Linked DNA regions of Nothobranchius furzeri. The protein of the gene in region 2 interacts with the protein of the main gene of each other region in a biochemical or structural test. Links are inferred from orthologs where the notes say so. Each region holds a gene or a part of one and is shown on either strand. Other genes may lie near its edges. The genes, in order: cebpg and cebpb.

Evidence for each region.
Region 1: the proteins of cebpb (region 2) and cebpg form a complex in vitro, tested with the Homo sapiens proteins (2 studies listed by BioGRID and IntAct, with this or other methods). The link is inferred for Nothobranchius furzeri from reciprocal best matches to the Homo sapiens genes CEBPB and CEBPG.

Annotation. Positions count from the first base shown.
Region 1 is NC_091749.1:66,131,789-66,148,825, forward strand, and holds cebpg (CCAAT/enhancer-binding protein gamma), read right to left. Parts: upstream 7,510-17,037; 5' UTR 6,795-7,509; intron 6,020-6,794; exon of another isoform or gene 5,682-6,019; intron 5,647-5,681; exon of another isoform or gene 5,055-5,646; intron 4,581-5,054; 5' UTR 4,478-4,580; coding exon 3,989-4,477; 3' UTR 2,071-3,988; downstream 1-2,070. Other genes in the region: cebpa (CCAAT/enhancer-binding protein alpha), read left to right, coding at 9,019-9,891. UniProt on the Homo sapiens protein: Transcription factor that binds to the promoter and the enhancer regions of target genes. Binds to the enhancer element PRE-I (positive regulatory element-I) of the IL-4 gene. Binds to the promoter and the enhancer of the immunoglobulin heavy chain.
Region 2 is NC_091755.1:52,063,363-52,079,184, forward strand, and holds cebpb (CCAAT/enhancer-binding protein beta), read right to left. Parts: upstream 8,040-15,822; 5' UTR 7,876-8,039; coding exon 7,000-7,875; 3' UTR 6,768-6,999; downstream 1-6,767. UniProt on the Homo sapiens protein: Important transcription factor regulating the expression of genes involved in immune and inflammatory responses. Also plays a significant role in adipogenesis, as well as in the gluconeogenic pathway, liver regeneration, and hematopoiesis.

The DNA.
Region 1 (17,037 bases), on a different chromosome or scaffold from region 2:
ACATGAGCACATCTATTCCTATCCAGGTCAGATCTTTCAGAACCCTACACACACACGGCTGGGCTGAGGGGCCCACGTTAGGGGAACAGACAGACCACAACCGCTCAAAAACACAAGAAAAATCATAAAACAAAGCTTGAGAATGATATTAAGGAGAAAGATGGGAAATAATTTGTGTGCACATGCAGAAGAAGTGTGTGTAGGGTAAAAAACAGTGAATGTAGGCGTGAGATCTGGGGAGTTTTACCCTGGGTTGTCTTCTGAAATAAACTAGTGATGGACTCTGGGTAGGAGTGACCTAAAGGGGTACACGCCAGATGGACCTAAAGCCACTGGACTCAGAACTTTTGTCTTTCGGGTTTGTGAGGATGGCCTGAGCTGGACCGGGTCTACTTTGGGGAGGACGTGGACCGCATCCATCTACAGTATCTCCTCTGCGTGACACAACATTCCCAGCGCTGTAGCTCACATGGAGCTGCGCCGAGCTGAGCGTTTATCTTGTTTATGAGTTGTGAAAGATGTCATAAATCAGCAGCTCCTAGTGACGTTATCAGCCTCAGAGATGGAGAAGACGTTCTGCTGCTTCGCTCCGATCTCCTAACTCATCCTGACAGCCAGAACCCCGGGCTGTCAATCACTCTGACCCTGATTGCTAACAGATATCTGGAGGCTTGACAGCTTCTCTCTGAACTGAACGTCTTCACCTTCAGCCTCCTCCTCTGACTCTGGGGGTTTCTTCACCAGCTGAAGCTGCGGGCCCATCAGCTTCAGTTCACTCAGATTCCAACAGCAGCAACTTGAAGGGGACAACCACTGGTTTCAGTTTCCTCTGGTGGTCAGAGAAGCGTCCATCTGCAGGAGGAACCAGCTTCTGTTCTGTGGACGCCGGTGATTTATTTGTGCCTGGCTCTGGCGAAATACGAGATAGACATAGAAATCTCCCTGAGGATTTCTAACTAGACTGTCTCCAGCTTTATCTGTGGTCGCCATGGTAACGCTAAAGCTTTTTTATCTGGTTTGTGTTTCTAAATCCTTTCTGGAATTCAAGGAACAGTTTCTAAACAGAACCATCAGATCAAACTCATGACCTCTGACCTAAAGCTAGTAAAATCGGAGCTCTTTGGTTTTCTCTGACCTTTGACCTCTGGGTGGACCTGCTGATTGGCAGCTGTCTGTTTTTCACCAGCGACCATTTCTCTCTGTAAAACGGTTGACCTCTAACCCTAACATCTTTTCTGTACGGTGACTGGATGTTGTTTACAAAAAAAATCATTAGACTGCTGACTGTAAACAAGTCGGTAACCATGACAACTGCACCTCTTGTCAGATAGTGCCAGTTCTCAGATGTTGGGCTGGTTTTCTGCAGAGATGGATCTGAGGCCTCCAAGGAGCAGCGCTACAGATGTGTGCGATCGAGAGAATAAAGAGGAAACAAGCGTAGAACATGTTTTCCAGATGTTTCTGTGTGAAGAACGGCGCCAGATTCTCAGAGGAGGTGAAGTTTAAACAAATGTAACTTGGCGATTGAAGACGAGGCTATCAGTCATTTTTATGTTTGAACGTTTAACTGTTTTCATGTTTTCCCATTTGCTGAAAAAGAGCAGATTGTGGGAAAAAGGGTTTATTTCTAATGTTGCAGCGTGCATCAGAACCAGAACCACAAGAGAACTCGAGAGCTCCACAGCAGCTCCAGGATCAGCTCTTCTCAATGTGAAGCAGGTGTTCATAATGTTATGGCAGACTGATGGAGCACAGATAAAAGCTGCACGGGCATTCAGTACACACACACACACACATGCTGACCTGATGGTAGCGGTGTGTGCGGTGTCCGTTTCTGTCATGGTGAGTCGATCCACTCATCAGGTGACTTTTATGATCAGCTGACTCAACGTGACCTTTGAACTACAGAAAACCCCTGTGTGTTTAGTGATGTCAGATGATGTCACTGTGTCAATCACCTGCTGTTTATTAGGAACACAGATCAGCTAGGGACACTTTGAGGTTCACACACACACACACACACACACACACACACACACACACACACACACAGGAAGAACTAGTCAGCAGAACTTTTACTCGAGTTTAATTTACACATAAAGACACCCCACCCCTAAACACACATGCTGTTTCAGGAATAAAATTGTTTAAAAAAACATATAAAATTGAAAAAGATTCTGTTTGCGCCGCTTGACCCGAGGATCTGGACCCAAAGCAGACAGGTTCGAGTTCTCACACTGAAGCTTGTATCGGGACTCTGCAGGGATCCTGATGTGGGTGTGGAGTCAAGAGCTAATCCAAGAAAAGGTCCTGATCCAGATCGGGTTCTGTTCAGATCTAATGGACCGCATGTAGCTCCCGTCTCTCATGGATCATGCATGTCTTACAGACTTAATTTGGGTAAAAGAGCAGAAAACACCAACTTCACATTTAGAGGTTGAGTGAAGGTCCTTTGTTGATTATGATTCAGAGTGGACTAGGAGCTGTGTGTGTGTGTGTGTGTGTGTGTGTGTGTGTGTGTGTGTGTGTGTGTGTGTGTGTGTGTGTGTGTGTGTGTGTGTGTGTGTGTGTGTGTGTGTGTGTGTGTGTGTGCGTGTGCGTGCGCGTGCGTGCGTGCGTGCGAGATCAGAGCACCTGAGCGACAAGAGCCAGCTGATCATTATTTTCAGTTTCTGATATGAAACCGTCAAATTTAGAAGATTTTCTAAAACCAAAGCTGAAGTTTTATGATGTAATCACCTGGAATCGGATCTACGGGAGTATTTTTTTTTCTGAACAGAACCCAGATGACTGTTCAGGACTGTTATTAGAAACAAGTGAAACCAACATGAACAGAACCACTTTGACACCAGAACCTTTCAGAACCACATCAAACTGTCTTGTGTTGAGAAAAGTGAACAGGAAGCAGTGGAGTTTGGCTGGAGGCTTCGAGTCACCACACCTGTGGGCAGGTAAGGCTCCTGACACGCAAACACACCACGCCTGTTCAAAGCTCAGCTAATTATAAAGTCTGCTGGTGGCTCGCTGTGGCTCCACCCTCTCCTGAAGTTGGGTGGGGCCGCCGTGGGGACCTGTCGCGATCTGTTCGGCTCTCGTTAGCAGACGGCTAATGACTCAGCCCGGCTTAAAACTGGATTTAGCATAAAGCTGCAGCTCAGCGGGGAGGGGGGGCTGAGGTGTCTGGGTCCGCCCAGCACTCCAAACACAAACACACCTGTCTGGACGGGGTGTTCTGACAGGTGGAAACGTTTTAGTTTCAACACAAATCACTCTGGATCAACTTCCTGTTTACAGGTAAACAAACACTCCACCAGACGGCAACATCAGAACTTTCACTGTTTTTGAGCTCAGACAAAATTCCATTGGTCGCATCCATGCTGAGTGGTTCTGACCCAACCCATCAGACGGTTCGGTGGCTGGAAACAGGTTTTCTCTGGACCTTTGCGGCTTTAATCAGAAACCAGACGCTTTTCAACCGGATCTGCGCCGCTGATGGAAACAAAACCAGGATGAGGAGAAAAGTTTCTGATCCAGATTATGGCTGGTTCCCTGAGGAGCTCTGAACCTCATAGTTGTTCTCTTCTGATCCTGTTTGTGACTCGGGTGGTTGAGGTTTCCACCTCAGCGAAAAGAACCCCCACCACCCCTACCCCCCCTGCCTGGGTCTACCAGAACCTTCCAGGTCTTTAGTCAAGTTTTGATGTTTAAAATATCAACATCTTCATGAATCCAGTTAAAACCAAAAAATTAGATCAAACACCAACAGAAGGAGGAAATGCTACCTTCCAATGATCAGAGTCCACACCTGTGTCTCTGTCCAATAAACAGTCAGACAAGTTTCTGAGGAAGTCTCTAAAAGTTGAGGGTGGGTGGGTGGACACGGTGAACAACAACAGATTCATACAAAGAAATGCGAAGTGAAGAAGACGAGAGGAGAGGCTCGTTTCCAGATAACCTGCAGGTGTTAACAACCTAGTGGATCCACACCTCACTGCCCATTGGTGGGGGTGCTGTTGGGGGCGGGGCTAGAGCCCTCAGTGCTGACAGGTGGCTGAACATTGTCAGCTAGGTTGTGTGCATGCTCCAGGAAGAGGTCTTTGAGCACACTAAGCTCTTTGCTGAGCAGTTTGATTTTGGCCTCCAGCCGCTCGTTTTCCTCCTTCAGCTCGTTGACGCGCTGCTGCGTGTCCATAGCCTTCTGCTTGCTGCGCATGCGGCTCTTCTTCACCGCCAGGTTGTTGCGCTCGCGCCGCTGGCGGTACTCATCACTGTCCTTGTCCACAGTGGGTTTCTTCATCTTGCTTGGGGGAAGGGCTTTGCCTCCAGCAGAGGAAGGGTTGGCTGGGATGAGCTGAGGGACCTGCTGCAGTCCGGCAACGGCCGCCGGCAGGGACGAGGAGGCGTGAGCCTGGCTCTGGATGACACTCACGCTGTTGTGGTCGGCTGTGGTGAGTTTCGGCTGCGACGGCCTGCTCATTTGGATGTGGTGCCTTCAGGTGCTGATCTCTGACCAGAGTCTCCTCAGGTGTAGAGATGAGATGGGGACAGGAAGGAGAGAAGGAGATCCAACTGGATTGAGCCTGAAGGAGGAGATGGACACATGTTGAATGAAACCATTCAAACAGACAACACCTCAGCCGCGTAGACATGTTAGCAGAACACAGCTTCCTGTCAGGGGGAGTTTCACCTTTAGCTGGCCAACAACAACATGGATGCAGTAATCCACTATTAATTAGCCTCTGAGCTACACATCCACACTTTGGATCTCAGTAACACCACCATCACTAAGAAGCTCCACCTGAACACAATACCTTGACCCAAATGTCCCCCTGCAGCGAGTCTCAAACATGTCCATCAGCGAGAAATCACCCAGCAGCCCGGGTTGTTAGAGGTCCCGTGACTACCTTACTCGCCAGGCTTCACACCTGCATTTGGTCACAGTTTTGTTCTCCCATCAACATTAAATCTATTCACATTTGTGTAAATCATGTCCTGAAATCACATCTTCATTGCTTTCAAACATTAACCTGTGAAAACACCTGAGCCCCGCCCACCTGTTGGAACTGAATGTGTTCCTGTTGTTTCTCCTTCCACTACCTGCCATCATGTGTCACGTGATCACACCTCTTGCTTGATATCTTGGGTCATGTGATTTTTGTGCAGCCTCGGCTAGCACCGACACTGATTGGTCGGTGCGTTGCTATGCAGCCACTCAGCTGTGCGCAGGGTAAAGCGCTCCGGGTGAAACAGCAGAGCTGTTACCCGCTGTTGCATCATCAGCAGCGGGGAACCCCGGAGTCATGCGGGGCTCAGCACAAACCTCACCTTTCACAGGACCGAAGTGAGTTTAAATAAACTGTAAAAACATCCAAACGGATCTCAGACCCAAAAATGTCACTTTATAAGGCTTTTGTTGTTATTTCCTTCCACTTAGTCAACTCGATTCCCTCCAACCCACCAGCTGACGCCAACCACTCGCTTAACTGTCGCCTTTTGTTGTGAATACGAGCCCCGCTGTAAGCAAAGTGTGTCTCTAAAAACGAGCGGAGACTGAATTTCACGTTCCTCAAAGCGACTTAGCCCTTTAGCCAGCTAGCTGATTAGCTTCTAATGCTAACGAGTCCTGTCCTGGATATTTGTCGTCTCTGATCGGAGCCATGAAACGCTGAAACGGGATTTACCTTAAAAGAGCGGCGGTGGAGTCAAGCATCCATAAAAACACAGAGAACGGGATTTAAAATCCGACTTAGATTCCGTCTGAGTGAAGCTGAAGTGTTTTTGTTTGGAACATGGAGAGCAGCCGATTGCGAAATCTACTTTACCATGTATGGGCAACGTCGAAGACCAGCCAATTACAGGTGAGTAGGCGGCAGCGAATAGAGGTGAAGGCCAATGAGAGCTCAGTATTCAGAAGAGTGATGCAATGCTTTGAATGCCTGACAGGCAGCTAAACCAATAGCGCGTGGTCTTCTTGTTAGTTTGTTTGTGTAATCAGAGGTTGTGGGATGAGTACAAACATGTCTGACTATCTGGAAATCAGTCCTGGAAAGGTCCTGATTTAAATATGTCTGATCATCCACGTGCCCCTTCTTTGACTGTCACCTACAGGTAACAGGTGAGCTGTTGCCTCAGACAGGAAGAGTATCCAGGTCCCTCGGGAGTAGAGAGGAGGCTTAATAAGGAGAGAGAATATTTCAGGAGCAGAGAGGAGCTTTCAGGAAGTAGATGTTTTAGAGAGGAGGTTTCAGGAAGTTGGAAGTTTCAAGAGGAGAAAGCAGATATCAGGAGGAGGGAGGGGGATTCAGGAAGGTGGACGTTTCAGGAGGAGAAAGCAGGTTTCAGATAGGAGGAGGTTTTAGGAGGAGAAAAGAGGTTTCAGGAGCAGAGATCAAGTTTCAGGGGTAAGAGGAGGCTTCAGGATGAGAGAGGAGAAGATCCAAGACTTTTTATTGTCATTGCGCAGGTGCACAACAAAAATGACTTTGCGCTCACTAAAGACAGCTCACGTGAGGAGGTGGTAGACTATAAGTAAAATAAAATAAGGCTAAAGTAGAAGTCATGCACAGTCTCTCTCTCTCTCTCACACACACACACACACACACACACACACACACACACACACACACACACACACACACACACACACACACACACACACAGCCAGTTTAGGTGCAAAAACATGCAGATATGGTAATGAGGCAAGTCTAAAACTAAGCGAAATGTAATGTAAACATAAGCAAACATAATGTAAACAGTCACATGTTGTCAAGGTGCTGTAACTGTGCAGCAGATACCTGTTAGTGTGACCGCCTAGCAGCAACATCAGTTCAGTGATGGCTCCATAAGCTGTTTTTTGGTTTAACAGCCTGGTGGTGTGTGTTTTTATTGCCCTGTATTGTTTGCCAGACAGAAGTTTGAAGAGATGGTTAGCAGGGCAGGGTGAGTCCTTTAGGATGTTTTCTGAAGGCAGCGAGTGGTGAAGATGTCATCCAGGGCAGGCAGGTGTGCGTTTGTTATTTTCTCTGCTGTTTAGATTACTTTCTGCAGGGCCTTACTGTCAGCATGCAGAGCTGCTGCTGCACCACACCAGAATGCTGTTGGTCAGCACCAATCTCTCCATGAACCTCAGATCAGGTTTCAGGAGGAGAGAAGAGAGAGGAGGCTTCAGAAAGGTGGAGGCCTCAGAAGGAGAGATGAGGTTTCAGGGCGAGAGAGGATGTGTAATAATGAGAGAGGTGGATTCAGCAAGGTGGAGGCGTCAAAAGGAGAGATCAGGCTGAAGGGGGAGAGAGGATGCTTCAGGAGCAGAGAGGAGGTTTCAGGGGGAGATATGCAGCTCTAGGATGAGAAGAGGCTTCATGAGAGTGGCAGTTATATCTTGAAACCTCCTCTGGACTCTCTACAGCTTCTATTTGCTGCAACTTTTGACTTCATCTTAATCAACAATCAAAAAAGAACCAGTTGCTTAAGGGTCACAGCTGGAGATGTGAAGCTGAATGATGCTGGAACTGGACCAGTTCTGGTTTCACCAGCTCTTTATGCCTGTACAAAAACAAACAACCATGATCAGATTGGATCTTCTCAGGTTTTAGGTACTTAAAAGATTTCATATGGTTTTTTATTGGACCATGTTCCTGGATTAACCAGACCCAGAGATTCTGTCTCAGTGGGGGATTCCTCACATCTCAATACATCTCCTGAGGAGTGCGTCAGATGTTCACGTTCAGGTTCAGATAAAGCTATAGGACCAGTTCAGATTCTGCAGAGCCTAAAGATTGATCCCAGGAACCCATATCACAAATGTTCAGAGATAGTTCTGATGGGTTCTGTGGTTCTATGATTGTGATGTGTTTATAGTAAGACAAGTCTTTATATGTGTCTCGGATGTCAGTGAGACAGAGACACATGTCCTCTCAGGGAGACAATCAGATGGGGACTATGTGGTTAAAATATCACTCTTTATTTACAACGAAATAATAGACTTATTACAACTATTTGGGCTAATTTCTAATTTTACATGTTGTACTAAAATGATACTCATTAAAACAAACACACTATCTTTATGACGAGGAAATGGCATTTTAACCGACCCTTATTTATGCTAACAGGAGTTATGCTAATGTAGCCAACAGCGTTACCATGGAGACCACCAGCTATGCTAGCAGAACAGAGCTAACAGCATCTCTGTCATGAACACAGGATCCAGCGGTTGTTTTTGAAGGAGAAAAGGTCCTTCAAAGGTCTCCAAGATGGTGCGAGATGTTCTGGATCTCTGCTCGGTTCTATACGGTCTGAAACGAACCAGAACCAACATCAGACCAGACGGTGTCTGTCTGCGTCCGACAGAGGGCGCTGCATCCCGCATTTTACACGCACACACACACGCGCGCGCGCGCGCGCGCGTGTGTGTGTGTGTTTGTGTGTGTGTGAACGCGCGCACATACACAGAGGTATGGCAGGCATTTACTTACGCGCATAAAAACATGCGTGCGCACACACAGGACTCTTTTGTGAAACAAACAAAAGTTTTATTCTAATTTAATTCTGGTTAATTTACCTTTTTTTAAGTAAACGAAACATCAGTCAAGCGTTTTGGTTCCGATGGGGTGGTGCAGTTCGGGAGACGATCCGCATCAGGTGATCAGAACCTTTAGTCTAGGAGCGAGACCCAAACTCCTTAAACAACACTTGGGATCATGATCGGTTCCGAGAACCTGCAGGGTTCTGTTGTCCCACCCGGGTCCCGGAGGGGTTCGAGTCAGACAGACTGAAGGAGTGTGGTGTTGTCCCCGCCCACCCATTCCAACTATAAAACCGCTGTTTGACAGCTCGGAGGTTACTGAGGACCAGGAATCGGACCGGCAGCTTCTCTTCGTTCCAACACAAAGTGTCAGTCAGTCCTAAAGACTCTGGTTCCGGTCGGCTCCTGTCCGCAGCGGTCCGACTCACCTGAGTGTGTGACTTTCCAAACTGGATTTCCGGAGCTCCTCGCCATGCCCGCCCGGCTTTAGGTTCTCCATGGAGCTCTCGAACCTGTACGAGGTCGCGCCCCGGCCCCTGCTGAGCAGTCTGCCCCACGGCCAGCAGCCCCCCTCCGGCTATAGAGACCCGTCTGACCTCGGGGGGGAGATCGGAGACAACGAGACCTCCATAGACCTGAGCGCCTACATCGATCCGTCTGCCTTCAACGACGACTTCCTGGCGGACCTGTTCCACCACAACTCGCGACAGGACAAAGTCAAGATGATGAATGGAGAGTATGACTGCGGTCCGGGTCCACAGCAGCTCTACATGCCTAACTACATGGAGTCCAAGCTGGAGCCGTTCTACGAGCACAACCCGCCGCGCCTCCGACCGGTGGCCATAAAGCAGGAGCCCCGGGATGACGAGGACCTGAACCCGGGCATGCCCCCTTCCTACCACCACCCGCACGCGCATCCTCAGCAGTACCAGCAGCAGCAGCAGCCGCAGATGCCGCACCTGCAGTACCAGATTGCGCACTGCGCGCAGACCACCATGCACCTCCAGCCGGGCCACCCGACGCCTCCACCGACTCCAGTGCCGAGCCCGCACCATCACCACACGCACCAGCACCTGCAGCAGGGCGGCATGAAGCTGCTCGAGCAGCGGGGAGGCGGGAAATCTAAGAAACACGTGGATAAGAGCAGTCCGGAGTACCGGCTGAGGCGCGAGCGCAACAACGTGGCTGTGCGTAAGTCTCGGGACAAGGCCAAGATGCGGAACCTGGAGACCCAGCAGAAGGTGGTGGAGCTGACGACCGACAACGAGCGGCTCAGGCGGAGGGTGGAGCACCTGACCCGGGAGCTGGACACGTTACGGGGCATTTTCAGACAGCTGCCGGACGGGTCGTTCAAACCCATGGGCAGCTGAGAGATCTGAATCGGACTGGACCGGAGAGTGCTGGATTTGTTTAGAGACAGAAGCAGCTGAGTTCTCAAAACAGCTGCACATATGCAGAACTTTTGGGTCAAGGAGCAGAAAACTTAACAGACCCGGTTCGGTTCCGGATGATTTTAATCTTCAGAGCAGCAGAACGGAACTCTTCCATCAACAAACTGAACCCGTTGGAGACTTTTAACTTGTTTGTTTGTTTATTTGTTTGTCGTGTTCTCGTGCCTTTAACGTTTGTGCAAAAGCCGATAAGCTGAATCAGATGTTCAGTGCCTTAAACAGACTGAGTCCAGAACCACTCAGAACATTTCAGTGCAGCTACGATGAGGTTAGTGCGGGACCAGCCTGCGTGCACGACGCCTTCATTACAGAATTTTATTTAATCACAAACGATCTCATGTACGGAACCAAACCGGACCGAAACCTGTTTCTGAGCTGTTTGCTTGGCTGAACTGTGTTTTGCAGGTGATTGGCTGTTGACACCACGTGGTATCAAACTCACCTTCACACTTGCCAGAGATAAACTGTCTGGGGAGTTTGGGTCAGAGCCAGAACCCATGTTTAATAAAACTAGTTCTGAATGACCCTAGCAAAGCCAGGCTGAGGGTTGTTCGGTACTGAAACCGTTACAAACAGAACCGCCAAAGCCCTGCAAGCCCAACCCTGACCCTGTTCAGACTGAAGCTCTCATGCACTAAAGCCAGATACATTGTGGGACATGGGGAGGCAGTGATGGTACTGATCATGGGGAGGGGGTGTACTGATACAGGTTCTGGACAGAACCCAACAGAACTACGCCCCTCTAAACATGTTTTATTGTGATCAGAACAGCTAAATGTGAACCAGGTTTCAGCATCACTCTTCATCTTCCTGCTTGTTGCAGTCATCTTCACTCAGTGCCTTTTGATCGCTCAGATGACCTTTGACCTTTGTCCGATCCCTCAGATGGTTCTCTGACTTGTTCCAGGGAGGAAGAAAGAAGCACTTTGTTGTTTATTTCTGTAATATAAACATAAAATATAAATGAAAAACCAAAATCTGAAGTAATAAAGAAACTTGTTTTATCAAATTTGGTTCTGGTGTTCTTCTGAGAGTGTTCGGCTCTATGTGCACACACACACACACACACACACACACACACACACACACACACACACACACACACACACACACACACACACACACACACACACACACACACACTAAGTCAAAGATATTCATTTTTACTCTAAAACCAGCTGCTTAATGAGGCGTCAGACAGCTGATCTACTGGTTCCAGCTTCTGTTTCCTGTGTATTTAAATGATTATTATTCCCTCAGTTTGTGCTTTAAGGTTCTGTTTGTGTCATGACTCTGCTGCAGGCGACCTGCCATCATGTCGTAAAATCGGAACTCCCTCAGATGTTCCGAAGGAACTTCAATAATCCCTCAGGAAGGTTCCTCTGGAAAATTCAGCTTCCAGCAGCGGCACACAGAAAAGTTTCAACAACAAGACGAACAAAGGAGCCAACAAAAAACCTCAAATGAATAAAAAACAAATGAAAAAAATTACACGAAACACATCAGTGGTATCAGATACATCGCGCATTCAGTAACATTGATGGCCCGGTTGGGTTCTGCTGTCAGCCCCCCAGTGAGTGTGTGGGACGAAGCTGTTCTTGAGCTGTTGGTTCTGGACTTGGGGAGAAGCAGCCAGCAGGAGTCAGAGCAGATCAACGGTGATCCAGATCTGATCCTGAGGATTTTAGAAAGTCTGATCTTCTCTCCCGAGGAACTTCATCAGCGATGGAGCTTTTCTGTTTTCCAGCAGCTCATCCGGGCCTTTCTGTCTCACATTTTTATGAGACTAAAAAAACAGGTAGCTTAAGCTGCACCCAGAAACAGATCGGAAGCTTTAAAGGTGTTCTACTTTTATTAGAACTGGAAACTGTTCACTGAACCTCCAGATGAATCTTTACTGGAGCCCACAATGACCCAGGAGCCCTGCTAAACGGTCAAACACAACCCCATAACAAAACCCTACAATGGAAAGACTGGTTTGTCCCGCCCCCTCGGCCAGGGCATGAATCTTATTGGCTACTGCTGTTGCCAGAGTATCACCGATGATGGTGGAATCGCTTCCATCTGTTTGTCAGTAAGAAGGTAAAAACAAGCTCTATACTGCTCTGTGTATGGGAACAGAAGAACAGAAAAAACGGAATCAGAAAATCAGCACAGACTGAACGTAACCAAGACGTTCAAACAGCTGCATGCTGATTGGCCGGTTTACCCTGAGAGCTCTTTAACTGTCTGAAGGTAGAAACTCTACAGCCTTATAGAGTATGGAGAACTCAACAGGAAAGTTATGAATCTATCTGGCATTCATTTAAATGATAAATGATCCGCACTTGTACAGCGCCTCTCAGAGTAAGGACTCCAAAGCAGGGGCGGCGTTAGGCCCGGCTACTTGGGCTGAAGCCCCGAATCTTTAATGAAAAGCCCTGGATCTCAAACGTGGAAGTAACATGCAGTACCAAAGTCCAACAGAGAGAGAGCAGCTAGCAGTAGTTTGTACACAGCCTGCCTGAGCCTCCACCACTGAAGAAGAAGCCCTTAAGCAGCCGGCTTCTTCTGCAGTGCCTGTTTTTTCTACTCTCTGCCTGAAACGCATGAGTGAAGATGGACATAAGGACGTTTTTTAGACCAAAAGTACAACGACAGAACCCCAGCTTTGATGAGACTGGTGCTGATTCAGGTTTGTGAGTCTTATTTGAAAATATTTGTTGTGCTGCTGTTTGCCTAAAGTTAGATTATCAGGTAAAGTTGTTGGAGAAAGAAAGGGAATATTTACTATCATCTCACACTAAACACTAACAGGAACAATACTCTGCCCTGAATATGCTGAATATGTAGCTTCAGATTAAAAATTATGTGGTTCAAGACAAATATGTATGTTGAGTGCGTGTCACGTGTGTGTGTGCACGTGTGTGTGTGTGCGTGTGTGTGTTAAGCCCCGGATCTTCTTCAGTCCTTAATCCGCCCCTGCTCCAAAGCGCTTTACACTACAGTGTATCATTCACCCATTCACACACACATTCACACACTGATGGTGATGAGCTACGATGTAGCCACAGCTGCCCTGGGGCGCTCTGACAGAGGCGAGGCTGCCGAGCACAGGCGCCACCAGTCCCTCCGATCACCACCAGCAGGCAAGGTGGGTTAAGTGTCTTGCCCAATGACACAACAGCAGAATTCTCTGTCCAGAGCCAGGATCAAACCTGCAACCTTCCGATTACTGGACAACCCGCTCTACCTGTTGAGCTACTGCTGCCCATTTAAGTCTGGATATTCCCAGTAGGAAATATCCTGGAAAGGTAAATGTGGGCTCCGACACTCTTCTTTGTCGTCCAACAAGGACGTTAGCAGCAGCTCGGCCTAGCGTTGATCACGATTTAGAACTTTTAACACAGCGGAGCCGGTCTGCCGGTGGAAACCGGACTCACCTGGTCAGCCCAGTCTGGAGATTTGTGCTAGATCATGAAGGAACACCTAAAGCGTGAAGCTGAAACGTGATCTGGTCAGGATCCGTAAACGCTAAGATCCTCCTCAGGAGTGAATTCTGTGAGAACATCTTCAGATGTTCTGTTGTCGGCATACAATCTAAGAACTCAAACCAAACTGCAGATCACCCCCCCAGTGGTTTATTTGTGTCCCCCCTCGTAGTCCTTTTGTGTTTTTCTTTGTCCCCCTGTGGTTCTATTGGGTCCCCATTGGGAATCTTTGGACCCGTTTCCATGATAAGTGGACGTCTAGACCTTAAGCTGGCGGCTCTGTATGTTATAGGATGAGGAGACTTCTGAGACATTCATCACCAGCTGTGACCGATAAAAACCACTACTCTTAATCTGAGATCTAAAGGTTCTGTCTGGGTTGTTCCATCAGATTAATGTTCTGATCTAGTCCTGGTGGAATGGGTGGAGCTATGAGAGGCTTTTATTTTGAAATAATCCGATCTGAGTGGCCTCTGACCTCTGGTCCAGTTGTTTATTCATTGGCTCTGTAAGTAAATGACTGTTGGGTCAGAACCAGTTCCATTAGATCAAACCTGAACCTGATTTGGGTTTTTCAATCTGAGTTGGTTCTGGTTGAAATTGCTGATGAATTTGATCTTTCTCTCACTTAGAGCCAAAAAGCTGGTGGTCCAGTTTCATCTCAGATCTGTGGACCTGTGTTGTGGGTCTAGATCGGGTCCTGGTTCTGATACTTGGCCCATTTCCTCCAACACGTGTTTTCTTTTCAGCACAAGATGTCCACAGAACAGCTGCTTTCTGTCTTCCTCTGATGGATTCTCCCGCTGATGACCCGATCTAAGCTTTCAGGAAACGTGCTGTTTTTATTTAGTGATGCATGTTTGGTGCTGTGTCCGGCCGGTTCTGATCCAGTTTGTGAGGTTCTTTGTGAACGTAAACACAGATCAAACATCCAGCTGTGTTCTGGTTCTAAGATGAAGTCTTCATCACGCCGGTCATCATCTCAGAGGAAACTTCAGGCTGTTCACCTCCTGCTTTGGTTCTGACCCAGAAAAAGTCCTGAGCATCAGAACCTCTCATGTGAGGAAACAAACGGGCTCATCACACCAAACAGAAAAAAGGCAAAACTATTTACTGAGTTTCATTCATCTCTAAAGCAGAATCATAACAGAGGCTTTTAGGAAGAGGAGGATGAGGAGCAGGAGCAGGATGTGCAGGATTAGGAGGAGCAGATGAGCAGGAGGAGGTGCAGTAAGGAGCAGGAGGAGGTGCGGGAGGAAGAGGAGCAGTTTGCAGCAGAACCTGGACCCGTTATTGTGAGTTATTTTCCCGTCAGCAGCTGGAACTCCTCGGCTTTGATCACTGGCTGCTCCTGCAGCTCCGCTCAGAGTCCAAACCCAGTTGGCTTGGTTTTAGGTTCAATGATCTTCTCGAGTGAGCTAATGTTTTCTTCAACATTTTCACTGCCAGATCTCTGTGGACTGGCTTTATGGACTCACGAGGACCCATGTAGACCGGTATGGACACGTGAATTCATGTGGACCTGTGTTGACCCACATGGACACGTACAGGCTTTTGTGGGGTCTTGAGAACCTGTCTGGACTCTTCATGTGGACACGTGTGGATAGATGAAGACCTGTGTGGACCGATGTTGACCCGTATATACCTCTACCTCTATGGACACATGTGCACCTGTGTGTCAGAGACAGCGCTCCTCTCCGCCCTCCCGGGTGTTTGCTCAGGTAGAACATTAACCAGGATTCTGCTGCATATTGTTCCTCCGGCTGAAACGACACCATGGGACTGTCTGTCCTCCGAGACGCTCACCAGGGGGTTCTGCTCCTAAAGCACTTTCTTTCTGATCGAATGATGTCACTTTTGTTCTTAAAAATCCTGAATGAGCTCTGAAACCGGATTTGGATCAGAACACACAAAAAGTTGAACAAACTAACAAAAAGAGAAATATTTATGAAACAAGATTAATTCTGACCTGAAAACAAGATTTTCTTCAACACCAGATCGATCTCAGTCTGAGTGAAAATCTAAACACCATCAGGAGGTTCTGGGATGCAGTCTGCCATCTCTAACAGTTACCCGGTGATCAGGGAGGGGGCGGAGACTAAAGGAACCTGTACCATCCAGGGTGGAACACCTGATCCACTTGCTTTCTCACGCCATTGTTCTGTTTTAAATTTTTATTAAAGTTATACCGAGCAAGTTAACAGGTTCTCCCCATGCATGCGTGAAGCTGGCATGTTCTTCCCATGCAAGAATGGCCTTGTTCCTGATGACCTCGCTGAGCTACTGTTTTTTTACCCGCTGCACGGTCTCTGAGGTCGGCTGATAGGATGCTCCTGGAAGTCCCAAAAACAAGGTGCAAGCTCAGAGGTGACAGGGCGTTTTCTACAGTGGCCCCTAGGCTCTGGAATGCGCTGCTTTTGAGCATTGGGCCGACCTCTTCACCGTCTGGTTTTAACTCTCTTGACAACCTGTTTTTATGATCTGACTTTAAACTTAGCATGAGGGTCGTTTTAGTGTTAGTTCTTAAGCTTTAGATTTAATGCATTTTTATGTTGTTGTATTGTTTTGAATGTTTTTGCATTCTGTGAAGCACTTTGGTCGGTTTCATACCGTTGTAAGGTGCTATACAAATAAAGCTTTGCATGGAGTTAGCATGTTCTCCCCATGCATGCGTGGAGTTAGCATGTTCTCCCCATGCATGCGTGGATTTAGCATGTTCTCCCCATGCATGCATGGAGTTAGCATGTTCTCCCCATGCATGCGTGGAGTTAGCATGTTCTCCCCATGCATGCGTGGAGTTAGCATGTTCTCCCCATGCATGCGTGGAGTTAGCATGTTCTCCCCATGCATACGTGGAGTTAGCATGTTCTCCCCATACATGCATGGAGTTAGCATGTTCTCCCCATGCATGCATGGATTTAGCATGTTCTCCCCATGCATGCATGGAGTTAGCATGTTTTCCCCATGCATGCATGGAGTTAGCATGTTCTCCCCATGCATGCTTGGAGTTAGCATGTTCTCCCCATGCATGCGTGGAGTTAGCATGTTCTCCCCATGCATGTGTGGAGTTAGCATGTTCTCCCCATGCATGTGTGGAGTTAGCATGTTCTCCCCATGCAGGCGTGGAGTTAGCATGTTCTCCCCATGCATGCGTGGAGTTAGCATGTTCTCCCCATGCATGTGTGGAGTTAGCATGTTCTCCCCATGCATGCTTGGAGTTAGCATGTTCTCCCCATGCATGCGTGGAGTTAGCATGTTCTCCCCATGCATGCGTGGAGTTAGCATGTTCTCCCCATGCATGCGTGGAGTTAGCATGTTCTCCCCATGCATGCGTGGAGTTAGCATGTTCTCCCCATGCATGCGTGGAGTTAGCATGTTCTCCCCATGCATGTGTGGAGTTAGCATGTTCTCCCCATGCATGCGTGGAGTTAGCATGTTCTCCCCATGCATGCGTGGAGTTAGCATGTTCTCCCCATGCATGTGTGGAGTTAGCATGTTCTCCCCATGCATGTGTGGAGTTAGCATGTTCTCCCCATGCATGCGTGAAGTTAGCATGTTCTCCCCATGCATGCGTGGAGTTAGCATGTTCTCCCCA
Region 2 (15,822 bases):
TTGAACAATATCAGCTTGTTTCTGCAGGAATTGTCTACTGTATCAGATTTGCAGGTGCAAAAAGGGTTTGACGACGTGTCAAAATCTTTGATGGTTAAAGGGGTTTGGGTACAGATGGCCGGTCTGAAGCTTTCTCTAGAACTACCAGATCACTCAAAGTGATCTAGTTTTAAGGATTTGATGTTATGATTTGCACAGCCAATCAGAGGCTGACAAGTTTGGAGATGTTTTACCAAGGCAACTCAGAAAAACACCGTCTTTGATATCGGAAGTCCTGACTGGTTAAAAAAACAAGTTATTTGTTGTAGTCTTAACTTAACCGTACTTATTGTGTGGAGGCAGGTGTGAGGACCTTGTTGTCAAAACATGGTCAACACATGGCAGGTTCTACTAGACACACATAATATAACATCCATTCAGTGTGCACAGATTAATGAAGCATTTCATTATACTATAATTATTATAAGTAATAATAAACAAATGTTTATTTAATGATTATCTAGATGACAGGTCATAGCTGAAGTTCATATTTATTTATGAAATCATTCTTGAATTTAGCAATTGATTTGAGCTGGAGTTCTTCTTTCTGGAGGTAGACAGATGGGACCTTGGGAAAGAAAGTTATTGTTTATCTTTCAGACTTGCAGAGTCTGAATCCCAGCTGGTGTGAAGGCAGACTCATTTAAAGGGAACACAAGCAATGTTGTGTCTCCTTTCTGACCAGATGTTGAATAGATGGTGAAAGGTCAAACAGTGCCTAAACTGACCATTGCTGGATGCCCCACTCACACACACACACACACACACACACACACACACACACACACACACACACACACACACACACACACACACACACACACACACACACACACACACACACACACACACACACACACACACACACACACACACACGTAGATTGGTGTCAAGAAAGGCATCTATTTTAACAATTTAGCTTCCACACCAAAAAGCAGTGAAAATATTCTTTTTATTTAAATGACTGGTTTAGGGGGCAGAAAGGGTTAGATTATTATGCAAACTAACATAAGTGATCATATTTAACTTATATCAAAGTAAGGAAATAATGTTTATTTTTTTTAATTCAGACATCTTTATATTTTCTTTTGAATTTTTAAAATGATGTATTTTCTGTTTCTATTTTAGATGACTTTGTGTTTCAATGGGAGATAAACAGGAGCTGTAGCGAGCGCTGCTGTCAGGTAAAGGTTTGATGGACCTGAAACAAACTGGAGTAAAAAGATTCAAATCCATACAGGTAGGATTCATGATCAAAACAAATAGAGGAGCTGATGAACAAGAATGAAGAAAGAGAATTTGACTAAATCAGGAGTCTCACTGGTTCAGGTGTGCTGATTAGACACAAAAATCAGGTGAATAAAGAGGTGGAAACAGCTAAGAGCTTCCAAAGTTTAAAACCAGCGTCTCTCGTTTGTGACAGGATTTCTAAAATGACTTCCTGGACAGGTCTCCGGTCCATCACAAAGACACACAGTGACACACCTAGGGGCAATTTAGAGTCTTGGCCAGCGGGAGGAAACCAGAGCTTCTGGAGAAAACCCATGAGAACACACCAACTCCATGCAGAAAGGCTGAGCAGGGATTTGAACCTACAACCTGAGACAACATTCTGACACAAAAACTCCAACAGTGCCAGTTCTTTCTAACTGAATTTAGTGAATGACCACAATCCAAAAGAGCATGCTGGTAAATGGATGCTCCTGAGGAAGTTTATTTGGTCACAGTGAAATTTATTTGATCTGATATTTAACTTTCTGACACAAGGAGCATCTGCACAATCTAAAGTCTAGTACTTTAACTCAAGCTTTATAACTGATAATTAACATAACAGACTAAAAAGCTCTATGCAGACTGGATGGACCTTCTTAGAGATTAGGACTGCGCTCCAAAGCCTCTCCGACACCGTTGTTGCTCTAGAAATTAAGCTTGTGTTTGTTGTGTAAGGATGGTCTGCTGTTACCCAAGATCTGGGCAGTGATATTTGCTGTGTACTGACCACAAGCTACTTCTGCACATCAGTTTTGTCTTTTTCACAGTCATGTACAGCAAAAAAAGCAGAAGTGAACCAAGATGTTGAAATCCTGGTTCACTTCAAGACAGATCATGTTCTAGTTCACTTACCGTATCTCAGGCCTCCCGGGTTCCCGTCACAAGCCCGACTTGGATATCCGGCACGCCTTTAACTTAACGCAGATCTGAAATGATAAAAAAACGAAATCTCTGTGTTCACAGCATCCAAACATACTGTAGGTCCGGACAGCTCTACTCTGATTTAAATGTGGCTAAAAAAGACAAATTTTGCTACATTCAGTCATTAAACCTGCATGAGAAGCTATAAGGATACTTTAGTCGTGCACCTGACAAAAATCTTTGTTTGTCAGTAACGTCTTAAATTTAAAAAAATTTGAGGTTTAAACTAAACCCCAGAGACGTTAAGAATTCAGAGGTAAATATGTAAACATGTGCACTCAAACACAAAACTGAGAAAATTCAGAACATCCTGAAAAATGCTGATGAGTATCTCATTTTCAGGGTCAAACAGCAAAGGATGACCTGGCTGATAGTGTTTAGTTATTCTAAGGCAGGGGTGTCAAACATGCGGCCCGTGGGCCGGATCCGGCTCGCAAGCAGGTTAAATCCGGCCCGCGAGATGGTTGTGTAAACTTTATTTTCATACTTTACAATGTAGAGTGAAAATAAACTTATCTTTGTGAGCAAGTTCTCTCTGTAACGAGTATAAATAAAACAAAGCTGCGCTCAAGGCTCACACAAGAACTTGAATCACATCCTGAAGTTGGCCGCCACTCAGGATGTGACTCCTGATATTGATGTGCTGGTGAAAGCTAAAAGATGTAAAGTAAAATGAGTCAAATATACTTTAAGTGCTGCATGAAACTCATCTAGCCATGTGATCTGTAAGCTCTTTGAATCACTAAGGAATGTTTTTTTTTTATTCTATTATTTATTTCAAATTTTCAAGTACACTTCAGGTGTTGTTCTTGTACTATTTTGGATACACTGTCCTCAGACTCCAGCCTTGTTTTATATTGATTGTATTAAAACAAAGAAAACAATCTGAAGTTTTTTTTTATTTACCGGTCCAGCCCACTTGTGACTAGATTTCCCTCAATGTGGCCCCTGAGCTAAAATGAGTTTGACACCCCTGTTCTAAGGGCTGTGGAAATCCCTGTTTATCATTTAGAACATATAAAAACATCTGTGAAAAGTCATAACAGGAAGTTCCTTTACATGTCTATACATTTCCCAAATCTACAAATCAATTAGCATGTATTTTTTAATTGTAAATAATGAAATTGTTCAGAATACTGGCAAACATAAAAAATAAAGGTTTCCTGTTTCTACTGCACAAACATTTCAGTTTTAAAGGATTTTATTCATCTTGGAAAGCAAAGCCCACTTTAATATGACACAGAACACATGTTAGAAAAAGTTTTCTAAACAGGAAGTGATGATCACACATTTCAGTTAGTAAAATTAAACACAATTAGGACATTTTTTAGCAACATGTCAAAATAGATCTTATCAAGAGGAACCAAAAACCTAAATGACCGCCAGTTTTGAAAACTAGAATTGCGCTGATGACCCAACGGCAGAGAGAGCAGATACAGTCATAAGAGTTAAAGCTTCCTGGACACCTTTAAGTGTTTCTTAAGGACAAAATTTGTTTTAGTTTTCTTTGTCAAAATCTATCTGAGGAAAGGACATTTCAGTAAAAAGTCACTGATTTATAATCACACAAACATCCAAACAGCTGAAAGTTGTGTTTAGATTTCTATGTCAACAAAGACCAGCTCCACCATACAAAGCATGACATGACGTGTGTGTGTGTGTGTGTGTGTGTGTGTGATGTTACAGGACCCGTCTGCTTTAGGGTTTTACTGGAAATTGCTCTGTGAAAATGAAACTGTACATTTCAGCTCTTTTTTGTAACAGTTTTGTGGAAAACAAACCAAATGGATGAAGGTGATGTTATCCTGCAGGAAACCACCTCAGATGCTATTTTATTACCTTTGCATTCCAAAAAGGTTCCTACTTTATGGTTATTCCAGCAAAACTACCATTAAATTCTGCAGTTAATAAACGATCCCATGTTAATATTCCTGTAAAGCTTTACAAAACAAAAGGAAACCTTTGAGATACAATGATAGAAACAAACCTTGATCTAAACCAGAGGGAGCACTTTCTGCTGGCAGCATTTAAAGAAACTAAAACACAAACTTCTGTTATTGTTTTGAGCTTTGATTCAGTTTGAAACCGAACAAACCCGGTCAGTCTACTCCAGGAAAAATGAATCTAGCTGGACAAAGTCTAAAACACAGAATCGTTAGTTTGTGAATCAACAGTTAATATGAGCACCAAGAAAAACAACAGTAAACACTGGAAATCCTGCAAGGGTCTGAAATCCAGAGAGAAGAGGGAGAGACTTAAAGTGATCTTGTTTGTGCAGGAAAGGTGCTCCACAGATTAGGATGATCCTGCTGTTGATAGGAAGCATCACGCTCCAGTCCCATCTCTTAAACCCACACCGCCCTCCACACCACGAACAGTCACTATTCATTCATGTTAATCGTGTTTCATCGATCATACATGTTCTTGACCGTCAAACCCAGAAAGCTTCAGGTTTAATGATGTAACTTTATATTTAAGAATAATGGAGGAGTCTGTAATTAAGTGTTGCCTAATGATGCCTTCATTAATTTAATTAGTTATGAAAACAGCGGCTGAGAGTTATGTGGACATCGTGTTTCTAAATCACTGCAACAATAGAAGTAAAGTGTTTGAAGAACAAATTAGTATGAGTCACATGTGGAAAACTTTATTTCACAACTAAAGAGGACAATAGGATGGCAGGTGGAGTGTGTGTGTGTGCGTGCGTGCATGCGTGTGTGTGTGTGTGTGTGTGTGTGTGTGTGTGTGTGTGTGTGTGTGTGTGTGTGTGTGTGTGTGTGTGTGTGTGTGTGTGTGATGCAATACGTTTTACAGACAGGCACTACCCTTTGACGGTAAAACACGGAAAGAGGGCCGGGCTAAACTCTGAAGACGGGAGGTCATCCTGTGTGGGAATTTCCCTCTTTCCTGTCAGCATGGGATCTGGAAGTGGAGTAGGAGTGCTTGTGGCTGGATTAGGCCGTCGAAGAAGGAATGTCCATGTTTGAATGAATCTGTGCCAGGGACTGACAGCATCCAGAAATGGGAAATCTTATGTGAAACTTGACTTTTATTCTGAGATTGCTTGGATTTCACAATCTATTCCTGAACACCTACTGGCACACACTCCTCACACTTATTGTCTTCCAGACCGAGGACAATGATGTCTGTTTCTAAAGTGGGTGTAGCATTCTTCTGGTAGTGATGTGTTTGGAAAGGGAGGATGTTGCACAACAGCTAGAACTCTCCAGTTCATCACTAGCTGTGTTGAAACGTTTAAAATGTCATTTCTTGTGCACAAACAGCACAACTCTGTGTTCACGCCCCATTAAAGGAACACAATGCGACTCCTCGTTGTGCCATCTGAGGACAAATGTGAAACTTTTCAGCTGGAAGACATTCCCCACAACAAATCACAACATGCTCCTTGTGTTTATCTGCTCTTTCTGAGGTTAGCTAGCTTAGATATGATTCAGGCTGCACACGCAGGCAAATGCAGTCTGAGTAGTTGGTAAATTCCACAGTTCAGCTTATCTGCAGCCTCTGCTGTAACCCACAGTCTAGTGTGGACAGGTGAAATGTCGTGCTGCACGTTTCCCACGTGAGGGTTATCCGAGGTTTGCTCAGGTTTCAGACACATCACCGCCCGCCAGGTCTCGGCTGTTCCAGTGTGAGCAGGTTAGTTGTTCATTAATTTCCAGACGACCTTGAACCCCTTTCTGGGCCGGTGGACCCAGCAGACTATTGACAGAACTGTGTGCTAAAGATAAAGCTACCATTTCTGTGCTGCGTGCAGAGTGACCAAGACCTTTCTGCTGCTCTCAGCAGTATCGTTTCAGTATAAATCTGTCACATTTATTTAAGGATCTGTGTACTTTTGGAGTCAAGCCCTCAATTACAACAACCAAACATGATATTAAGCATATAGTGCAACTATAAAAACTGATTTTGATTAATCATTTTGAAACAAAGTCTTTGCCTATTTTATTTTATGATTAAGTGTGTGAGTTGATCAGGCAACTTTAATGCACAATCTCAATAAAAAATTTTTTTAATGAGTGATGTTTTGTGTGGGCCCATGTGACTATTTTCTAAATTAGCTGTTCCAAAGAGAAAAATCTCATGGTGCTTTGTTTGATTTCACCATAGCCTGACATTTAAATGTGCACATTCTGCTTATCATCGAGGTGATTTCTTATCTGCAGTGTGTCGTAACCCCAAAACATGGTATTACACAGTCTATGATGACGGTGAACGATGCACGATCCATGGTGAAAGGGACAAAAAAAGAAGAAAAGGGAAGTGAAATAGTTTAAACAAAGTATAAATCTCTTTAATTCAATAAAATATCAAGAACAATTAAAGCATTTCACCTTTTAATATTAAATAATTAGACTATTTCATTCATTGCCAATACTATTACAAAGAGTTGCATCATTTCACTGCAGCACAACTCTTCCCCTGACAGCCATTGCTGCAGATACAGTGTACACAAAATGTAGAAATTCACTGGTAATGTAAAACCTGCACAGAAATACTGCATACACTAAAATTACATCTGAGAATAAAGCTATGAGGACAAGTGAAAAGTCGCGTAATGGTTGCGCAATCCATGCAGCCACTTGTTCAGTCTCATTCAAAGTGTCCATGTAAACTGGCGGTCTGTTTACAGAGTACCGTTTTCAGCACAGTGGGTCGCCTCTTGCGCCGTTAAGTCTGTCAGGCAAGCAGCGCGGGGATCCGGGGGGAGATCCGTGCGGTATCCCCGGGGGATGGAGGTGGGGAGTTCTAACATTGTCCGGTGGCGGAGAGCAGGTTGCGCAGGGTGGCCAGCTCTCTGGACAGCTGCTCCACGCGTTTCTGTAGACGATCGTTCTCCGCAGCCAGTTCCAGCACTTTGTGTTGCGTCTCCAAGTTGCGCATCTTGGCTTTGTCCCTGCTCTTCCTCACTGCCAGGTTGTTCCTCTCCCTCCTCAGCCGGTACTCTTCACTGTCCTTGTCCAGGCGCTTCTTCGCCTTCCCGCCAGACGACTTTCCACCGTGCGACGGTGACCTGCTTTTACCTGACGGGGCAGGTGTGCCAGGCGGGCTGGAGCAGGTCGAGGACGCAGTGGAGATGTTTCCAATACTTCCGCTGGTGGATTGGTAATGAAGGTAGGACCTCATGTCAAACCCAGATGACCCGTTCTCCATCTTTGCGTCTTCCGGACTGTCTTCTCTCTCGGTGGAAGCGGCGGCTCGGTAACGGCTGGCCACCAGATCCGGGCTGAGAACGCTGTCCACACGGGTCTCCTGCAGCTCGGGGTAACCCAGCGCGTACGGATCCCTGGGCTCCCTCGCACCCTCGCACTGGCTCGCCTCCAGCTCGCTCAGCAGCGAGTAATTCTTATAGTTCTGGAAAGCTGCGAGTCTTTTGATCTTGTTCTCCCCGAGGAAATCAGAGAAGGCGTCCCCCTGCTGCTGCGTGTGCGCCGCCAGCTGCGGGCAGTGCAAAGCGGAGTCCAGGTAAACGCTGAAGTCTATGGCTCTCTCCCGCTCCCCCAGACCCAGCTCCGTCATCGAGTCGCCCAGCCTCCAGTAAGAGCCTCCGCCTATGGGTCCGATGAAGCCGTCTCTACCGTGGATAGCAAAGCTGCCCTCCTCGTACAAGCCGGCCACTTCCATGGATCTCAACACCCGCTGGAGTGCAGGAGCACGTCGGGCTGAGGTGGGACGCCCTGGCTGGTTCTGGTTTTCCTGCCTCAGTTGTGAAATGCGTCGGAATGCAGAGAGTTTAAACCTCCTCGGTCACTACCCGTAGAAACACGCAGCTCCTACTACGCGGGAGCTCTTGGATTGGGAGGAATTGACAGATCTTCCTGTCTCAGGAGGGGTTTTATTAGGGGTGGGGGCGGGGCTTAACTTGGCAGGTGTGTCACGCAGAGCAGAACCGACCTGTACCGTGCGGAGAAGATTCTTTCCCGTCCGCATGCTATTTAAAGTATTTTGTCACGATGAAACAAACAAACAAACAAACAAAACAAAACAACAACAATAAAACACCGAACAACAAAATAAAACTTGCTTTAGTTTTTATGTACGTGCGCACCAGATGAAGGCTATAATAAAATTCTAGCAGCAGAACAAAAAGGAGAAAAGCAGCTTTGGCTGATGAATGGGAGCTGATATCAGAAGTCAAATAAAAAGTAAAAAATAAAATTCCAGTTTACACCGTCATGCAAGCGCGCCCCCTGCTGCACGCGTCTGGAAAAAAACCCAACGTGTTTATCTTTTTAAAGTTTATAGTAACAACATCACTGATGTTCAAAGCAGCCACAGACTCATTTCATTTAGAAATCTGGTGCCCCACAACTTCCAGCATATATACGTGCCAATTAAAGTGCAGTGGACCTCCTCATGATGCATGTCTAAATCTGTACAAAGGCCAGGGTGGGCGTCAGAGGAAGCCAGTCTGTCTGGTTTAAGGCGAAAGACTTATATGTGCCCTAGAAGATGTCTGTGATTGCTTTGTGGGTCTTGAAAAATCTGCTGCCTCGACAAAAAATGAGATCTGACACAAGCTCTCCTCAAGTCCTTAATTCTGGCTGCAGTAGAAGCTAGAATCTGATAAACTTGATAAAACTCAACGAAAGACTTTTGTTTACAAAATCACCAATGCAACAATTACTAAGTATTAACATTTTAAATATGTGTAAAAATCCAGATATGTAAATCTATATATAAGTTCACTGCTCAACAATAATAAAAGGAACACTTAAACAACACGATGTAACTCCAGTGACAGTGACTGAGAAGCAGTTTCACTGCTGTTGTGCAAACAGAAAAGACAACAGGTGGAATTTATAGGCAAACAAAAAACGAATGGTTCTGCAGGTGGTGACCACAGACTACTTCTCAGTTCCTCTGCTTTCTGGATGATGGATGATGTTTTGGTCACTTTTGAATGCTTTCACTCTAGTAGTAGCATGAGATGGAGTCTGCAACCCACACAAGTGTCTCAGGTAGTGCAGCTCATCCAGGATGGTACAACAATGCGAGCTGTGGCAAGAAAGTTTACTGAGTCTGTCAGCGTAGTGTCCAGAGCATGGAGGTGGCTCCAGGGAGGGCAACAACCCAGCAGCAGGACCACTACCTCCACCTTTGTGTAAGGAGGAACAGGAGAAGCACTGCCAGAGCCCTGCAGAATGACCTCTGGTCAGAAACAGACTCCATGAGAGCGGTACAAAGGCCCAACATCCACAGGCAGGGGTTGTACTTACAGCCCAACACCGTGCAGGATGTTTGACATCAGAGAACACTAAGATTGGCATATTTACAACTGGCGCCCTGTGCCCTTCACATATGAAAGCAGGTTCCCACTGAGCACATGTGACAGACAGGACCGTGTCTGGAGATGCCGTGGAGGACGTTCTGCTGCCTGCAGCATCCTCCAGCATGAACGGTTTTGTAGTGGGTCAGTAATGATGTGGGGTGGCATTTCTTTGTGGGACCACACAGCCCTCCATGTGCTCGCCAGAGGCAGCCTAACTGCCATTGAGTACTAAGATGAGATCCTCAGAGCCCCTGTGAGGCAATATGCTGGTGCAGTTGGCCCTGGGTAATGCAAGACAATGCTAGACCTCATGTGGCTGGAGTGTGTCAGCAGTTCCTGCAAGACAAAGGCACAAGATGCTATATGGACTGGCCCGCCCGTTCCAAGGGCCTGAATTCAGTTGAGCACATCTGGGACATCATGTCTCGCTCCATTAACCAACTCCATTTCGGACCACAGACTGTTCAGGACTGTGCGGATGCTTTAGTCCAGGTCTGGGAGGAGATCCCATCTGCCACCTCATCAGGAGCATGCCCAGGTGTTGTAGGGAGGTCATACAGGCTCATTTTGGCTTGTTTTAAGGACATTACATCAAAGTTGGATCAGCCTGTTATGTGTTTTTCAACTTTAATTTTGAGTGTGACTCCAAATCCAGACTTCCATTTGATTTCCATTGATAATTTTAGTGTGATTTTGTTGTCCGCACATATAACGATGTAAAGAACAAAGTACGAAATTTTAATTAATTCAGCTCAAGGATTATTCTTGCGTACTCTTAATTTTTTGAGCAGTGTGCAAAACATAAACGTACACATTTTAAATTGGGAAAACCATTTAGTTATGAAAATATAATATTTTATTATAGGTGGTGATGACAACGTTCATTCATTAATTTTCTGAACCGCACTGCCACCTTGTGGAGTCATGTTTAATAATCTTAAAGCAGGGTGTACAAATATTTTGACAAGGCTTCAGTGTGGAGAAGAGGAGATGAATTCTTGGAGGTTGGTCTCCAGCAGTTACAACTGGTCTATAAACAATGTAAAGGTTTTCACAGAAGTTCCTCTAAATACTCCATAACCTTTTCTATTTCCTCACATTTCAGTTTAAACTGTTAATGATTATGAGGCTTTTTACAGTAGAAATGAGCCTGAATGTAATAAAACATCTGACGGAATTACCCTGACATGTAGAATTAGTGGTAATGTAAACATTATGATGCAGTGTTAGCATGAACTGCTGCAAAGTCAATACGATTAGAACTGTTTTGTGATCTCCTTGGTCAGAACTAACCTTTATTTCTCCAAGTGGAGAGATAGAGATTATATTGATTTTTTATAAATATTATTATTATAACTATTTATTGCTTATAGGACACATAATATTCCACACAGAGGGAACATCTGTGTTTTACACAATTCTTTATCTTTATTTGGAAATATAATAGTGTCTGTTTTTTTCATCTATCTGTGTGAAGCACCCTCACTGACCAGAGGAGCTTCAGTCAGCCACACTCAGACACACTGACCACTTTATTAGGTACACACTGTCAGTACCAGGTTGGACTCCATTTCACTTCAGAATTTTAATTCTTCACGTAAGCAACTCAGCAAGGTTTTGGAAGCATACATCAGAAGTTCTGGTCTGTAACCAAACAGATTTAACATCTAACAGATGTTTCCATCTGAGATATGGTGACATGGTGCATGGTCCTGCTGGAAGTAGCCACCAGAAGATGGGTCCATGTGGTCATAAAGGAATGGACATGGTGAGCAACAGTACTCAGGTAGGCTGTGGTGTTTAAATCAGCCTCAGGTGGGGCCAGAACATCTCCTCCTACCACCACTATACCACCAGCAGTAACAATCCGAACATTTAATTCAAGGCAGGATGGATCCATGCTTTCATGTTGGTGACACCAAATTCTGACCCAACCATCTGAATGTAGCTGAAACCCAGACTCATCAGACCAGGAAAGGTTTTCCAGTCTCTTCTGGACCAGTTCTGGTGATGTTGTGTGAATTGTAGCATCAGTTTTTGGTTCTTATCTAACAGGCGAGACACCTGTTGTGGTCTTCTGCTGATGGAGTCCATCTGGAGCAGATGTTGTGGTTCTTATTCTCCATTCTGATGCTCAGTTTGACCTTCAGCAAATCGTCTCTTTCACATCTAGATGTATGAATGCACTGAGTTGCAGCCATGTTACTGGGACTTGTGTTAACATGTTATTAAACATCTGTACCTAATAAAGAGGCACTGTGTCGTGACAAAACAATCCCAGCTTGCAATACCAAAATGTCTGGCAAATAATTCCATAGAATTTGATTACCTTTTTTAGAAATTATCAAATGATGGTAATGTCCGTTCATCCATTCATTTTCATGCGCGTATCCGGGGTCGGGTCACAGGGGCAGCAGTATAAGCAGAGAGGCCCAGACTTCCCTCTTCCCAGCCACGTGGGCCAGCTCCTCTGGGGTGAATCCTAAGGCGTTCCCTGACCAGCCGAGAGACATAGTCCGACCAGCATGTCCTGGGTCTTCCTTTAAATCTCATCCCGGTTGGACGTGCTCAGAAATCCTCACCAGGGAGGCATCCATGAGGCTTCCTAACCAGATGCCCAAGCCACCTCAACTTGCTCCTCTTGATGTGGAGGAGCAGTGGATCTACTCCGAGCCCCTACCGCATGACCAAGCCCAAGAAGAACCCAACCACCACACGGAGAAAATTCATTTCAGTTGCTCATATCTGTGATCTCGTTCTTTCGGTCTCTACCCAAAGCTCGTGACCATAGGTGAGAGTTGGAACGTAGATTGACCAGTGAATCGAGAGCTTTGCCTTCCGGCTCAGCTCTCTCTTCACAACGACAGATCGGTACAACACTCGCATCACTGCAGATGCAGCACCAATCCGCCTATCGATCTCGTGCTCCATCTTTCCCTCACTCGTGAACAAGACCCCAAGATACTTAGACTCCACCACTTAAGGCAGGACCTCATCCCTGACCCGGAGAAAGCATTCTACCCTTTTCCAACTTAAGATGGTCTCGGATTCAGAGGAGCTAAATAATGTTTGCTTTTTTTTATCTGCGACATTCCTGTCAGCTGCACCAACCCCTGTTGGACATTGGTATCAGGTAGGACAGGGGTGGGCAATTATTTTTTCCATGGGGCCACATGAGAAATAGAAAATATTGTGGAGGGCCGCAGGCCAAAAGGCTGAAGTCAATTATGCATAATATTAATGGTATTTCTTTATAAAAAGCAGTAAATACCATTGTTTCTTCAAGCTGGTAGACTATATGTTATAAATGAGCAAAAAGGAAAAAGTGAGGTTGGCTTACAAAAATGTGATTTATTCAAATTTCCCAAGGCAATGGTAAACAAAGTGTGCACATTTGGTTTTTGTTAAACATTTGTGACTTATATTAGTTAACAGTTTCAGTCACATTCACTCCAAAACACATTCTGAGTTTCAAATATTGTTGGAAAGAGGTTCTTAGCATTCTACAGACACACAGTATTGTCTGTAAAATAAAATCACTGAACTGTGATCTTGAGAAAGAGGTTTAAAAAAAGTGTCCCAGTTCACTGCTAGTTGCCTACATTTGTGGTCCAAACACCTTATTTTGTGTTTTTAAGCAATTTTTTTCTTATTCAGTGAGAGAAATCTAGTCTCTGCTGGGCTTTAACGAGTGCATCAAAGTCAGGTTGGATGTCTGAGGTGGAGAAGCGAAGCACAGCTGACAAATGATCATCAGTGAGAGAGGATCTTTACCTGGATTTTGTAAACTTCATCATTGAAAATGTTTGTTCACAAATGTAGGTAGAGCTGAAGAGAACCAACATCTTCTGAGCATGTCTCTTCAGGTTTGGAAAATCCTCCTTAAGCCGGGCGTACACTGTGCGACTTTTTCACTCGCAGCGTTCAGCTTCAGCTCAAACTGTACGACTTCCTCGCAGAGCAGATCTCACGAGTCGTGTGCTCACACTGTACGACCCAGTTCTCGCATGCGACCTGACTGCTCACACTGTACGTCTGGTAGCAACACGTCGGCCCCAAAATGTGCTAAAAATAGCAGTTTTTACACAACACGTCAGACTTTTTTGTCTTGCCTGTTGTCCTTCGGGAGTGCTGCAGGAGGACACACAGGGATTTATGGGGGTTGGATGAGGAAAACGAAATAAAGAAAGTGAATCTGTGTTTTATGATCAGTTTAATTTGACATGAACACGACAAACACGCTTTCTTGACAATCTTTGTGAGTAAAAAAAACGTGTAGAAACAAAAACGAACAGCGTGTGTTATTAGGGAAATAGCGAGCGACCGGCCGGCGTTGATGCAGGATTGCGCGCGCATGCGCCGTGAGCGGTTCTGATACTTTTTGGATCGTAGCTGCTCGCAGCTGCTCGCAGCGCCGCTTCAACAGTGCGATACCCTCACGAGGGACGAGCGAAATATTAAACACACCAGAAGTCCCTGCGACCTCACGACTGCTGATCGGCGGCTGGTCACGTGGTGTTAATCGCCTCTCGTAACCCCCTGTACACTACACGACCGCTCGGCGCAAAACTCGCCCCGATGTCGTGGCTTCTCGCACGACTGGAAAATCGGCTCAAAAAAGTGAAAAAGTCGCACAGTGTACGCCCGGCTGTGACAGTCTCTCCCATTTCAATCCCAGAGTGTCCATGCACGCATTTACCTCTGTAAAAAGATCACTCCCTGTCGTTGTCCCTCTCATCGACCGCATTGCTGCCCGCTCCTCTGTGAGCTTGAAGTCCGTTATCCCCCGGACAAATACGAGCAGCTGGGCTGTGTCCCGGACATCACAGCTCCCGTCTAATGAGAAAAAGTCAAAACTTGCCACTTCACGTTGCAGCTGAAGCTCCAGGTTCCCCGCAATGTCCTCGATCCTCCTGGTCACGGTTCGCTGTTTTTAGCTATTTTGTGGGATATCACAAAGCTGGTCCTGGTTGCTGCATCCCTGGATGTGTGAAGCTTAGTAAAAAAGCCTTGCTGCTTTTGCAACTTTGCTAGCAAAGCTTCGGATGTCCGTGCCCTCTCAGCATCAGACAAGTTCTTGTATTTTTCCGAGTGTTTCTTGTCGTAATGCCGACTCAAATTGTAGTCCTTAAACACGGCAATCTCCTCCCCGCAAACCAAACACACGGTTTTACCTCCGACTTCAGTAAAAAAAATACTTAGCAGTCCAATTTTTGTTGAAAATCCTGCATTCGGCATCTTTCTTTTTTTTTTTTTTTTTTTTTTTTTTTTTGCATGAGCGGACATTTCTCAGGCTACAATCACCATGTCAACCGCGGGCACTTGTTGCTATACGTATTGCGTCATTGTGCACGTAAAATACAACTTCAAAATAAAAGCAATGCAGCCTTAGCCCATGCATGAGGTAAAATGAGAAAATACATTTATTTTGTAATTTCCAATTAACCTTACGCGGGCCGGTCAAAGTCAACCAAAGGGCCGGATGTGGCCCGCGGGCCGTAAAATGCCCAGGTCTGAGGTAGGAGGATATTTTAACCAGCAATCAGAATGTGGTCAGACATGTTTTCTAATTCTTCAGCACTGTGAAGAGACACGTCACCAGAGCTTATTTTCCATGACACGCACTGGTATGTTGACTCACGTTTGAGTTTTACTACCAACCACTTTAACACAATTAAAACAAATGTATAAATCCAAACCAGGCTGTCACACATATGCCCACTGTCAAGGCAGCAAAATCCTAAAGGTTAAAAATAGTAAAAAAAAAAAATGAAGGAGCTGCCATGACACCTTACATAAAACACAATCTACAGCTGCTTCACTGTAACTGAGACTTGGCAGAGGTGAGGATGCATTAGTTTCTCTCACTCCTCCTTCTCTGGGAGGTTAGCTGGTGGCTGGTGTCAAACCCAACAGGTAACAGGTAAGAGGTGGGTAGGACACGTCGACATATACATATATGGACAATGGGTTTCCATAGGCTCCAACAACACGTTTTTGAAGAAAAATGGGAGGTGGTCATCACCGCCATTGTGACCGTGTCACAGGTTCCGTCAAGCCCAGACAATTCCACAAAAGGGAAGAGAGGTGGAGCTGAGGGTGGGGCTGTAAGGCTGGGATCAACTGACGACACCCGGTCGAACTAGCTACAAGCTAACCTGAAGCTAACCCAAAGCTAACGTGGAAGTGGGAGCTAAGCTAACGGAGGTAGCAACCTAGCTACAACCGGCGTTAACTGTGCACAACACCAGAGCTTCTGAGTCAGAGATACGCCGGGCTGACCGCTGGGTAAAACCGGG